Linked DNA regions of Sus scrofa. The protein of the gene in region 2 interacts with the protein of the main gene of each other region in a pairwise test. Links are inferred from orthologs where the notes say so. Each region holds a gene or a part of one and is shown on either strand. Other genes may lie near its edges.

Region 1 (4,572 bases), on a different chromosome or scaffold from region 2:
AATTGGACCGCCGCTCAATGAACTGTCACCTTATGTTTGAAGTTGCCGCTCTGCCTTCTTACCCTGAGGTAAATGGCCCAGCAAGAGCCCTCTAGGAGCTCCCCTGTGGTGCAGTGGTGAAGGATGCAGCGTTGTCCCTGCATCAGGGGCTCAGGTCGCTGCTCTGGTGCAGGTTTGGTCACAGGCCATGGGCTTGGCCAAAAAAAGAGAAGCAAACTTCGGATTTAGGGTTATTTCCTTAGAGTATGTTTTCCTAAAAGCAGGATCACTGGCTCAGACGGGAGGCTAATTTTTTCACGTTTCTTTTTCTTACATTTACCCAGAGCATGACTTGTCTACTGCATTTGTATTAAGTCGTATTAAGCTATTTTGGCGTGGTTTCTTCACATCTCCTCAGCTGTTTCTCACAAATAAATCTTTCGCATTGTGTGCTTGTCCCTGGAGCACCCTCGGTGACTTGTGAGTAGAGATGGGGTTTCTTTGCCACTGTGTTTTCAGTTATCGGTGTTGCAATACTTTGGAAAGCTGTTGATTTGTAATTATTTATCCTATAGCCAGCTGTTTTCTTCTGCCAAGTTTTCCAGTTCGTTCTCTGTTCTAGGTCTGTAGTTGCTCTGTTTACAAACGATCATTTTAAAGGAGATTGGCAGCTCATATACTTGTTGCTTCTGTCTTTGTCTTTATTCCTCAGGCGTTCCCTGGTGGCTCAGTGAGTTAAGGATATGGCATTGTCACTGCAGTGGCTCGGGTGGATCCTGTGGCACGGGTTTGATCCTGGCCTGGGCACTTCCTGTAGGCGGTGAACAGGGCCGGCCCTGTCTGTCCAGGATGGGGGCATATGCAGGCCGGATGCTGGGGAAGTCTCTTTTCAGTCCTTAGTTTTAAAGAACCAAACAATTGAAAAACGGCCCATTTGTTCAATATTTATGACCTCATTTCGGCACTGGTGGAAGTGCCCTCCACTGCTCCCCACAGCTCATCCGTGGGGTCTTACTAGGGTGCAAGATGCCACAGGTCTGGGGCTTGAGCGGTGTCTGTTGTGGCGTCTGGATGGGGCTTTGCTCAGGATCCCTGGACTGTCTTCCTACACGAATCTGGGCTCCAGTTTCCTCTCTGTGGGGTGTATTTAAAGGGACTTCATATCAGAGTTGTGACAAATTTATAAGCTTAATACTCAGGCGTCCTAATTTTTGCAGTGTTCCAGCCTCATTAGCTGACGTAGGAATTATGAATTGTTTGGGAACTTGAAAGATCTTACCTGCTCACAACCCACGTCTACAGTCCTTTGGAGCAGAATTATTCTATGACTTCTGGGTTTTTCTTGTTTGTTCATTGGTCCATTTAGTTTTTCTACTTCTTATTGAGTCATTTAAAAATAATTTCCAATCTCTCCTTTTATTAACGTTTTCAATTAATATTCAATTGTAGGAGTTCCTGTCGTGGCGCAGTGGAAATGAATCTAACTACGAACCATGAGGTTGCGGGTTCCATCCCTGGCCGCACTCAGTGGGTTAAGGATCTGGCGTTGCTGTGACTGTGGTGTAGGCCACAGACACGGCTCGGATCTGATGTTGCTGTGGCTGTAGGCTGGCAGCTGTGGCTCTGATTGGACCCCTAGCCTGGGAACCTCCATATGCCGCAGGTGTGGCCCTAAAAAGCAAAAAACAAAACAAGTATATATATTCAACTGTATATAATATTTCTATAATTTAAATATTATCTTCCTAGTCATTCTGATAACACTTTTCTCATTTCCGATTGTATTCCTTTATGTTTTCTATGTCTCTGAGGTAGCTTTCCACAGTTTTCCTATTTTATTGGACTTGCCGTAGAGCTGTTTCAAGTTTATCTCTGCTGTTATTTTTATGATTTTCGAACTTTTGCTTTCTTTAAGAGTTCATTCTCGGAGTTCCCGCTGTGGCTCAGTGGTAACCAACCCAACTAGTGTCCATGAGGATGCGGGTCTGATCCCCCGGCCTCGCTCAGTGGGTTAAGGAGCAGGCATGGCCACGAGTTGTGGCGTAGGCCACAGACCTGGCTCAGATCTGGATTTGCTGTGTAGGCTGGCAGCTTCAGCTCGACCCCTGGCTCAGGGAACTTCCATATGCCGCGGTCTCAGCCATAAAAAGGAAAAAAAAAGGAAAAAGAAAAGAAAGGACTTCATAAATCACAAAAGAATTGATAAGTTAAAGTTTTTATTTTAATAATTTATTAAATTATATTACAATTTAATTAAATTACATTAATTTTTTTTTTGTCTTTTCTAGGGCCACTCAAATGGCATATGGAGGTTCCCAGGCTAGGGGTCGAGTTGGAGCTGTAGCCACCGGCCTACGCCAGAGCCACAGCAACGCGGGATCCGAGCCGCGTCTGCGACCTACACCACAGCTCACGGCAACGCCGGATCGTTAACCCACTGAGCAAGGCCAGGGATCGAACCCGCAACCTCATGGTTCCTAGTGGGATACGTTAACCACTGCGCCACGACCGGAACTCCGAATTATATTAAAATTTTTTAAAATTCTGCCTGACAAGAGTTGCCATAAAAAGGTTAAAATATAAGCAAGGAACCCACTGGGAGAGGACAACACGTTTTAACGAGAAATTAACATGTAGGCTACCAAAGCAACTGATGCCTGTCCCTTCCAAAGACTAGTCAACCGAGAAAATAAGCAAAGGACAGCGCCGCACAGAAAGCAGACCCCAGAGGCCAGCGTGGGAAAGGTGTTCAGCTTCACGGGGTTTAGGGGAAAGCCGTGCGTGTCCTCAGCTGGTCTGCCCACACCAAGCGTTGCTGAACGGCTGGTGGTCGTGGAGAAAGCCGAGACAGTTCAACAGCCCGCGCCCGAGTCCGGGTGTAGACGCGGAGGGTACTTGCGCGGCGCAAGAAGGCGTCGGAGGGCTGCGGCTCACGGCTTGGCGTTTGCAGGGCAACCTGGAGGCAGCCCCACGCGCAGCCGTGGGTGGTGGGTAGAAAGGTCTGTGTGTGTGTGTGTGTGCGCGCGCGCGCGCGCACACACGTGTGCCAGGCAGCGGTTGCGTGAACCAGCGAGCGACCAAAGGACTCACTCGCCGTGGAGAAATCTCGAAACGCGATCACGCTGCAGCGAAAAGGTCTGTTTCCGAGTCAGGCGGAGGTCGGATGAGCCGCAGCAGAGCTTGGGCGGCGCGCGAAGGCCGCCGCGGGCTGCGGGGCGTGTGCGGGCGCCGGCGGGGGGCGGCTGCCTGGGGCCGCGCCGCCCGCGGCCGCCTCGCCCGCCTCCGTCGTCGCGGCGCGAGCAGGAGGCCCCCCAGCTCCCGGGTGTTGGAGGCGCGTCAGCCTGACCCCCTTTCCTCCCTGTCGCAGGGCCGGACTTCGGACGGTTCCCCGGCGTCCCGGAGGCGCCCTCGCAGCTGCAGGCCTCCTCCCTGGAGGACCTGCTGTGCTCGCACGGCCCGCTCTCCGGCGAGGACGACGCCTCCCCGGGCTGCGCCGCCGCCGCCGCCCAGGCGCCCTTCAAGGCCTTCCTCAGCGCCCCCGAGCTGCGCGCGCCCCGCGCCTCCGACGGGAAGCCGTCCCCGCTGCTGAGCCCCCTGCACGACCCGCTGGCGGACAAGACCCTGCTGGAGCCCAGGGAGGTGGGCCGGCCCAAGAAGGTGTGCTTCTCGGAGTGCAGCCTGCCCTCGGGGGACAGGACCCGGAGGAGCTACTACCTGAACGGTAGGGGGCGCCTGCTGCGGGCGCTGGGAGGGTGGTCCCGCCGCGCCGCCTCCGCCCTCCGCCCTCCGCCCCGCGGGAGGAGCCGGGGCCTGCGGGGCCGGGGGGCGGCGTCTGCCCAAGTCTTGGGACCATTTAAAAACAAATAAGTTCCGGGCGTTCCCATCGTGGCGCAGTGGTTAAGGAATCCCGCTAGGAACCATGAGGGTGCGGGTTCTATCCCTGGCCTTGCGCCGTGGGTTAAGGATCCAGCGTTGCTGTGGCTGTGGCGTAGGCCGGTGGCTGCAGCTCCGATTCGACCCCTAGCCTGGGAACCTCCATATGCCGCGAGAGCGGCCCTAGAAAAGGAAAGAAAAAAAAAAGAGTTCTTTGTATATTCTGGATAGAAGCCCTTTGGGGGTATGTTTTGCAAACATGGTCTCCCGGTCTGGCTTTTCCATTTTCACAACGTGTCTTTTGAAGAGCAAAGCTATTTAATTTGACGACGTCCCATTTATTAATTTTTTTCTTTTCTGTAAGTTCAGGCTTTTTTGTATCCTCCTTAAGAAATCTTGACAAACTGAAGTCACAAAGGTTCTCTCCTACGTTTGTTTGGAAGTCGAGTAGTTTTTGGTTTTACATTTGGTTTCTGATCAAATTCAAGTTAATTTTCGTGCATGGTATGAGGTTGGCCTTAGGTAGGCATTTGTTCCAGCCCCAGTGTTTTAAAAGATTATCCTTTTCCCACTGAGTGACCTTGTCGTGTTTGTCAAGAATCAGGTGTATTTCTCAGACACATACGCTTTCTCATTTATCTGTGTGTATTGATTGCAGTTACACTGTCTCAGTGGCTGTAGCTCTCTAATAAGCCTGTAAATCAGAGTGTTAAGTTCGTC
Region 2 (3,658 bases):
ATTAAAATCTTACAGATGCCTAGTTTTTATCCATTTTATTTATCCATGTTATATTACATGTGAAGTAAAGCCTATTAGAACCCTGAATTCATTCACCTTGCCTTGCCTTATCTGTGATGTCCTACTTCCTACTTGGTAGTTTTCTTTTTAAGTAGCTGAGAACATTTTAAAATATATACATACATATATTTTAATCGTTTGTAATTTGAACCATCTCTGTGTTACATTGGTTGTACCTTCCTTATTTCAGGGTAGTGATCCATGTTGGGAGGGCAGAGGGGTGTATGTGTGTGCAATGAGCTTCAAGACTGTCAGGTTGAGTTGTGAATTCAAGACTCTGAACTTCTGTGTATACCAGCAGGCTGTTTTGGGTAGGAGATAAGGTGTTTGTTGTGTCAGACTCGAATGTACTAGGAAACTGAAAGGTTTCGAGTGAAGTTTCTCTGATAACACAGAATCTCAAGTGATGAGATCAGGGGCACATATGTTTAGAGACACATCCGTGGGGCATGACACTAAATTATCTGAGAATTGCTTCATAATTGGAGTCACTTCCTCTGCATCTTGACCCATAAGCTTGAAAATGCTGTGTGTGCAGAACTGTAAGTGGCAACCGGAAACTTGAACCCAGTACCAGAAAGGTAGCTGTTGGGCTGGGCAGTGAGGTCACAAATTGGCACAAGAGGAGTGAGGCAGGATGCCCAAAAGCCATGGGCTGGAGACCACCTCTCCCGCCAGGACTCAGCTCTGCACTTGGTGGGCTGATGTTTTCTCTTAAAAGATTGTTATGCATTTGCTATATGTCACGCAGTCTCGTGTTTGTCATTAAATTTCCCATCCTGTTAAGACAAGTATTTTTCTATTGTTTAAAGGGAACCAGAAGCCAAGGGAGATAATGTGATTTTTCTAGGGTCATAAGGCAAAGTAGCTGCAAAGTAGCAAACTCAAGTCTTCTGATTGCAAATCTGGTTCTCTGTACATTATAAAACAGTACCTAGAATCAGTCGAAACTAATGTTTTCTATTTTTTTCCAGACCTATCCCTCCACCCCCTGCCCCAACACACACATAATGAAAGCAGCACTCATTTATTATTATTTATGTATGAGCTGCTGTGTGACACTAGGAAGCATGTAGTGCGTAGTGTTGCAGTTTTTTTCCCAATCTTGCCATCAAGCCACAGGTGCCCGTCTCTTCCTTTATACTCCCTCCTCTCCAGGTTTTTCCATCTCTTGGTGGTAAGTCTTTTGCTATAGTTTGAGTAAGCCCTGCCATTCCTCACATGGAGAGCAATGAGAGGCCGAAGAACTGTGCTTTTTGAAGAAGATGCTCTTTTATTCAACAAATATTTGGTGTGCACGTGTTAGCCATTGGTGGTTGAGTGACGAACAAGACAGACACTGTCCTGCCTTCATGGAATTAGGCATTACAAAGATCATTTCAAAATTAGAGGGGTGAGTACTATGAAGGGGAAGAACAGTTGTTAGAAAGAGTGTTCAGTGTTCAGTGGGAGAAACCTCACTGGAGTGCCACTAACACTAGCAAAACAGGAGAAGGCAAGGCCACGTGGCTTCCCTGGTTCTCTTTGTGGGTGGCCTCTTGCGGTCTCAGGTCTGTTCTTGGCTGACTAATGAAATGTCACCAGTGGACTAAAACCACTAACTCTTCCGTCTCTCTTTCCTCCTCTCCCAAGCTCCACAGGCCTTGGAGACTCAGGTACTTTGCATGTACACAAATAGACCAATACAGTTTGACCACCTGAAAGTCTGAGCCTTCATTTTACATTAGGGCCTGGAACTGACTAATCTAGCATCACACAAGTGGCAGCGCACAAGACCCAGGTCAGGTGCGGTGAATGTCAGCACACCAGTCCGCCAGATAATGACATGAGCCATAAATGATGCTAGTGCACGGGGCTTGGATGCCCAATTCAGCCAGCTGAGGCGTGAGTGGCTGGGAGAGGAGTAGGTACCGAAGAGAGGATGCTCGGCATCAGAATGTGGTCTAATAGAAAGTGACATGCTTTGGCATTGAAATGCCATTGTGTATCTTTAGACATCCAGGCTTTTCCAGAGAAAAACAGGGATGCACGAATTGGTGAAGCTGACAACTGAATGTGTACAGATGCTGAGAAAGGCCCACGTTGAAAAATGACAGTTTTGAATTTTCATAGTCTAATAGGATGCCAATCTTCTTTGGGGAAACCGTTATTCTTATGTCTGGAGTCGTCTTGTTGTGTAGAAATTCGTATTTATGCCTGAAGATTAAATGTTGATAAAGCTTCAGAAATTCTGTGAATGGGCTATTTATAGAACATTTCATTTTTCAAATATAACTATAATTTTCTTTTATTAAATGACTATCAAAGTAACAGCCCATTTCTAAAACTATGTATCTCTTTTCTAAAACATGCCCTAAGAAACTTATTTTTTAAAACTTTTTTTTTTTTTTTTGAACATGCTCGCAGCACATGGAAGGTCCTGGGCCAGGGATTGAACCCGTGTCATAGCAACAACCTGTGCCACTGCAGTGATAACACCAGATCCTTAATCCGCTGCACCACAAGCAAACTCCTTAAACCTGTTTTTGAGCAACTGCTTAACCTAAGAAACTTACATTCAATATAATAAACTCATACTGCATCCGAATCTCCATAGAAATAATACATTAAAAAATTTGAATTTCAAGGTTCAAATATGTAAATCCCTTGTAACAAAGACATGTGAAACAGAGAATCTTAGGATCTTTCGTGCACTGAGCCTGTGCACACATACTCTAAGGCATCCTTTTCTTAAAACTTTCAAACTGAACCGGGCACCTCGGGGCTCATCACCACTCCCCTCATGCTGGGGAGGTTCCCACCATGAAGGGTGGTTGCTTCTCCTGTGTGCTTTGAAAATGGCTGAAATCAAAGCCAACCGTAGGAATTTCCTAACTCTGCTACCTACAGACATTTGCAGAGCTCTGTGTGCCGGCACGCTGGTCCATGTGACTGGGATGGACACTTAGAATATGATGCAAATGTATCAGAGCCAGCCAGCCTGTTTCCATCCCATTTCACCTTATTTTTTCTTAACTGAGCAGCCACCAGAAGCTGAATGAGGAGTTCCCGTCGTGGCGCAGTGGTTAACGAATCCGACTAGGAACCATGAGGTTGTGAGTTCGGTCCCTGCCCTTGCTCAGTGGGTTAAGGATCCGGTGTTGCCGTGAGCTGTGGTGTAGGTTGCAGACGCAGCTCGGATCCCATGTTGCTGTGGTTCTGGCGTAGGCCGGAGGCTACAGTTCCGATTCGACCCCTAGCCTGGGAACCTCCATATGCCGCGGGAGCGGCCCTAGAAATGGCAAAAAGACAAAAAAAAAAAAAAAAAGAAGCTGAATGAGTCCTTCCCTCTACTTTTCCTCCCACCAGTAGAGTCTAAGACTATGACCCCAAAATTCCTCCCTATTAAGACACGCTCATAGAGACATCTTTCCAAGGTGGGACTATTAACAGCTCTAGGGCTCAGATTTTTGCCCTTCTTTTTTCACTCTATATGTGGTGTTCCCACCCCTTTTCTGTCTTGTAACCGAGCCCTCCCACTCCACACAGACCCCTGCTCTTTCTTTTTGCTCCTCCAGATTTTGTCTGCCCCTGTTCTTAACCTTTCTAGGAGAGGAGA
Region 3 (4,572 bases), on a different chromosome or scaffold from region 2:
ATCCAAGCCGCGTCTGCAACCTACAGCACAGCTCACGGCAACGCCGGATCCTTAACCCACTGACCAAGGCCAGGGACCGAACCCTAATCCTCATGGTTCCTAGTTGGATTCATTAACCACTGCGCCACGACGGGAACTCCTGTACATCTCTTCTATTAGACCATAAGACCCCTGTGGACAGTAAAGGGTCATCACCTTCATGACACAAGATCTTAAAACGCTACACAGACTCTGCACGTGGTGAGGGCTCGAAACACCGATGCACATACATTCTCAATGCACTGTTCTCAAAGTAATTAACAGCAATAATTTCTAGCATTCTTCCCATCTAATAAAAATTTAAGCCTAAGCCAAACAATAATCTAGTGACCAAAAGATTAACCTTGCAAATGTGTCAGAATTTCAGGGACCGATCTTAAATAAAATAGGGGTCCATGGGTAAATGACTTTGAATCCACAGAAATAAGACCCCCACTCAAGTATTTTCTACTTATTAATATGCACAAGATGATGAATTCATTTGCAAAATATTCAAACTCTTGGTGGAGTTTGCAAATAGCCCATTTCTGCACAAGAGTAAAATCAGTCTCAGGAAAAAGAGCCATTAAAAAATTTTCATTTGGAAGCATCTGCTCCTGTGCTTGAAATAGTAATCTTGCTGTTGGAAATATACTCATAAATGTACATTATATACACATTATCTATTTTTAAAAGCTTTTAAGTCTAGAATTTAAAATCCAAATCTGAGAGATGCTGGATTTTGAAACAGATAAAACAAAATGAAAAGCCAAGCCTTATGGTTCTTATAATACAATTAAGCACATGTTAATAAGAGGTAAGTTTAAATATGGGATATTTTGGGGATGTTAATTTAGGAAAATAAACATAAATTAATCATTAGTAGAAAAAAAATGTAGCCTCAGAATATCTGCCACGATTCAATACAATTAAAAAACCATTCTTAATTGTTTTTGTTATATGTATGCACTTTTGCTAATTATTTCTCACTCTGGATCCTTGAGTAAGTTAGGAATATGATGTCTGTAGTGTGTAGCTACTGAACAAATTTGAAAACTTAAGAATGAGGAGTTCCCATCATGGCTCAGTGGTTAACGAACCTGACTAGGATCAATGAGAATTAGGGTTCCATCCCTGGCCTCACTCAGTGGGTTAAGGATCCAGCATTGCTGTGAGGTGTGGTGTAGGTTGCAGACTCAACTTGGATCCCAAGTTGCTGTGGCTGTGGTGTAGGTTGGCAGCTGTAGCTCCGATTTGACCCCTTGCCTGGGACCTCCATATGCCATGGGTATGCCCTAAAAAGAAACAACTATGGAAACTTAAGAATGAGTATTAAAGAACAAAATAATGCCATTTGCAGCAACATGGATGGAACTAGAGACTCTCATACTAAGTAAGTCAGAAAGAGAAAGATAAATACCATATGATACCACTTATATCTGGAGTCTAATATGCAGCACAAATAAACCTTTCTACAGAAAAGAAACTCATGGACTTGGAGAACAGGCTTGTGGTTGCCGAGGGGGAGGGAGTGGGATAGACCGGGAATTTGGGGTTAACAGATGCAAACTATTGCCTTTGGATAAGCAATGAGATCCTGCTGTATAGCACTGGGAATTATATCTAGTCACTTATGATGGAACGTGATGGAGGATAATGTGAGAAAAACAATGTACATATGTATGTGTGCCTGGGTCACTTTGCTGTACAGTAGAAAATTGACAGGACAATGTAAACCAACTATAATGGAAAAAATAAAAATCATTACAAAAAAAAAAAAAGAACGAGTATTAAGACAGTCATCCAGGAGTTCCCGTCGTGGCGCAGTGGTTAACGAATCCGACTAGGAACCATGAGGTTGCGGGTTTGGTCCCTGCCCTTGCTCAGTGGGTTAACGATCTGGCGTTGCCGTGAGCTGTGGTGTAGGTTGCAGACTCGGCTCGGATCCCACGTTGCTGTGGCTCTGGCGTAGGCCGGTGGCTGCAGCTCCGATTCAACCCCTAGCCTGGGAACCTCCATATGCCGCTGGAGCGGCCCAAGAAATAGCAATAATATCAACAACAACAAAAAAAAAAAAAAAAAAAAAAAGACAGTCATCCAGTACCTACCTTCCATTTACTTTCATCTGTTCCCAAATATCCACTAAAGGCTTTTTTGCCCCAAGGACAGAGCACTGGGTTGCAAATTGGAGCAAATGCTGACACAGACTTTAGAGACAAAAATAAATTTAAAAACAAGTTATATTTTGCTAAATCAAATATGAACAGATATCTGCAACTCGCTTAAAAACTCGGACTTGCTGAGAAAATCCCTATGAACAGTTTTCCTTTTGCTGTATTACAGGCTTAGATTGAACGCCTCTCCAGATACCACATCCTTTGTGTGTTCTATTAAGAGGGCTAATAAAATCTAAGTGCTAAAATAATGTAAAGCAATGCATGACATTTTCATTATAAAGGCACAAAAGGAAGTTTATGAGTTTCTACTCATTTTTCCACTGAAAAAGTTAACTTTACAAAAATATTCTTGATAAAAATATAAGTAAATGATAACATACTGCCAAAATAATGTTAATCAAGGATAACTTCTAGGAAAAAAAATCTAGAAAACTATAGTTTGAATAGAAGCAATGACAACTGCTTTCTAATACCACTAGCAAACCAACGAGAAACGTCTGGGATACAAGTTCCATACTTCTGATTTTGCAGCATATACTGTGTGGTCAGATTTAATACTCTTCCCCCACAACCCCTTGAAATTCCCAACACCAGAAAAGTTAATCTCAAAACGAAAACAACAGTATCTTAATTTCAATCTTTGAAAGTTCCTAATAGTATATTATGCAAGAGAAACATCTGTCATTAGAAGTTTAGGTCATCTTACTTTGTATTTTCCAGGATTCTTCAAAGTACAAATCAGAGCTCCATGGCCTCCCATGGAGTGGCCGAAAATAGACATCCTTTGGGGGTCTACTGGAAAATTGGCATTTATGAGTTGGGGAAGCTAGAGAGAATAGTTGGACAAAAGATAGGAGAGAAATAAGTTCAGACTTTTTCAAAGTTACATACAATAATCAATACTTCGAAAATCACAGTCTTAGAGTTGTTTACACTTGCAAAGATTTTAAAAAATGTCAGATAGGGAGTTCCCGTCATGGCTCAGCAGTGACGAACTGGACTAGTATCTGTGGGGACACAGGTTCGATCCCTGGCCTCGGTCAGTGGGTTGAGGATCTGGTGCTGCCATGAGCTGTGGTGAAGGTCTCAGACAAGGCTCGGATTTGGCATTGCTGTGGCTGTGGTGTAGGCTGGCAGCTCCAGCTCTGATTCAACCCCTAGCCTGGGGGAACCTCCATATGCTGGGAACCTCCATATGCTGTGGGTGTGGCCCTAAAAAGACAAAAAAAAAAAAAGTCAGCCAATGATTATTAATATTACTACTGGAGACTATAGGGCACATCCAACTTGGAAAGCAACTTTAAGAAGATAATGTGGGAGGAGTTCCCGTCGTGGCGCAGTGGTTAACGAATCCGACTAGGAACCATGAGGTCGCGGGTTCGGTCCCTGCCCTTGCTCGGTGGGTTAACGATCCGGCGTTGCCGTGAGCTGTGGTGTAGGTTGCAGACGCGGCTCGGATCCCGCGTTGCTGTGGCTCTGGCGTAGGCTGGTGGCTACAGCTCCGATTCAACCCCTAGTCTGGGAACCTCCATATGCTGCTTGAGCGGCCCAAGAAATAGCAACAACAACAACAACAACAACAAAAAAAAAAACAAACAAACAAAAAAGAAGATAATGTGGAAAGAAACTTTAAAGTGTTCTAAATTTTGATCTAGTAATTTCACTTCCTGGAGTCTATTCTAAGGGAAAAGTCTTTATGGGGAAAAATTATATTCAAAGATAATCAAATGCAGTAACACATTTTATGGTAAATAATACATACATAAATATAGCCTCTGTTAGGAAAAAGTATTCATGTCGTATGACAGAATACTACCCAATTATTAAAATTATGTTACAAATAGAGAATATTAACAAACATTTATTTTACACAACTAAAAAGAACGAGATAAAAAAATGTTTTATAATTACATGAAAACTAGTCATAACAAAAAGCTTGAAATATACCAAAATGTAATTCTTGTTTGAAGTGACAGAATTACGGGTGATTCAAATTTTATATTATTGTTTCTGAGTTTTTATGAGGTGCACATTAACAGTTAAAGTCATATAAAATTTAGAAAATGCATAAACTGCACACAACTATTATTAATAGAAGCATTATCATTTATCCTGATTACGGTTAATCACTTTGAAATACATCTGAATGAACCTGCTGTCAAAGAAATGCAAAGTTTTATGGAACATGATGGAAGATAATGTGAGAAAAAGACTATATGTACGACTGGGTCACTTTGCTGTACAGCAGAAAATGACAGAACATTGTAAATCAGCTATAATAGAAAAAATAAAAAGAAATACAAAGCTTTTTCATGTACTATTTTCTCTGTATAATATGGGTAGTGTATACAGGCATCAAAATAATAATTCAACTCTT

Evidence for each region.
Region 1: the proteins of FSD2 (region 2) and SPATC1L interact in binary tests that used the Homo sapiens proteins (3 or more experiments, as listed by UniProt). The two-hybrid records come from large-scale screens. The link is inferred for Sus scrofa from reciprocal best matches to the Homo sapiens genes FSD2 and SPATC1L.
Region 3: the proteins of FSD2 (region 2) and ESD interact in binary tests that used the Homo sapiens proteins (3 or more experiments, as listed by UniProt). The two-hybrid records come from large-scale screens. The link is inferred for Sus scrofa from reciprocal best matches to the Homo sapiens genes FSD2 and ESD.

Annotation. Positions count from the first base shown.
Region 1 is NW_018085356.1:561,941-566,512, forward strand, and holds part of SPATC1L (speriolin-like protein), read left to right. Parts: intron 1-3,346; coding exon 3,347-3,700; intron 3,701-4,572.
Region 2 is NC_010449.5:52,191,795-52,195,452, reverse strand, and holds the end of FSD2 (fibronectin type III and SPRY domain-containing protein 2), read right to left. Parts: intron 2,257-3,658; coding exon 2,004-2,256; 3' UTR 1,314-2,003; downstream 1-1,313.
Region 3 is NC_010453.5:20,662,044-20,666,615, reverse strand, and holds part of ESD (S-formylglutathione hydrolase), read right to left. Parts: intron 3,022-4,572; coding exon 2,902-3,021; intron 2,226-2,901; coding exon 2,127-2,225; intron 1-2,126.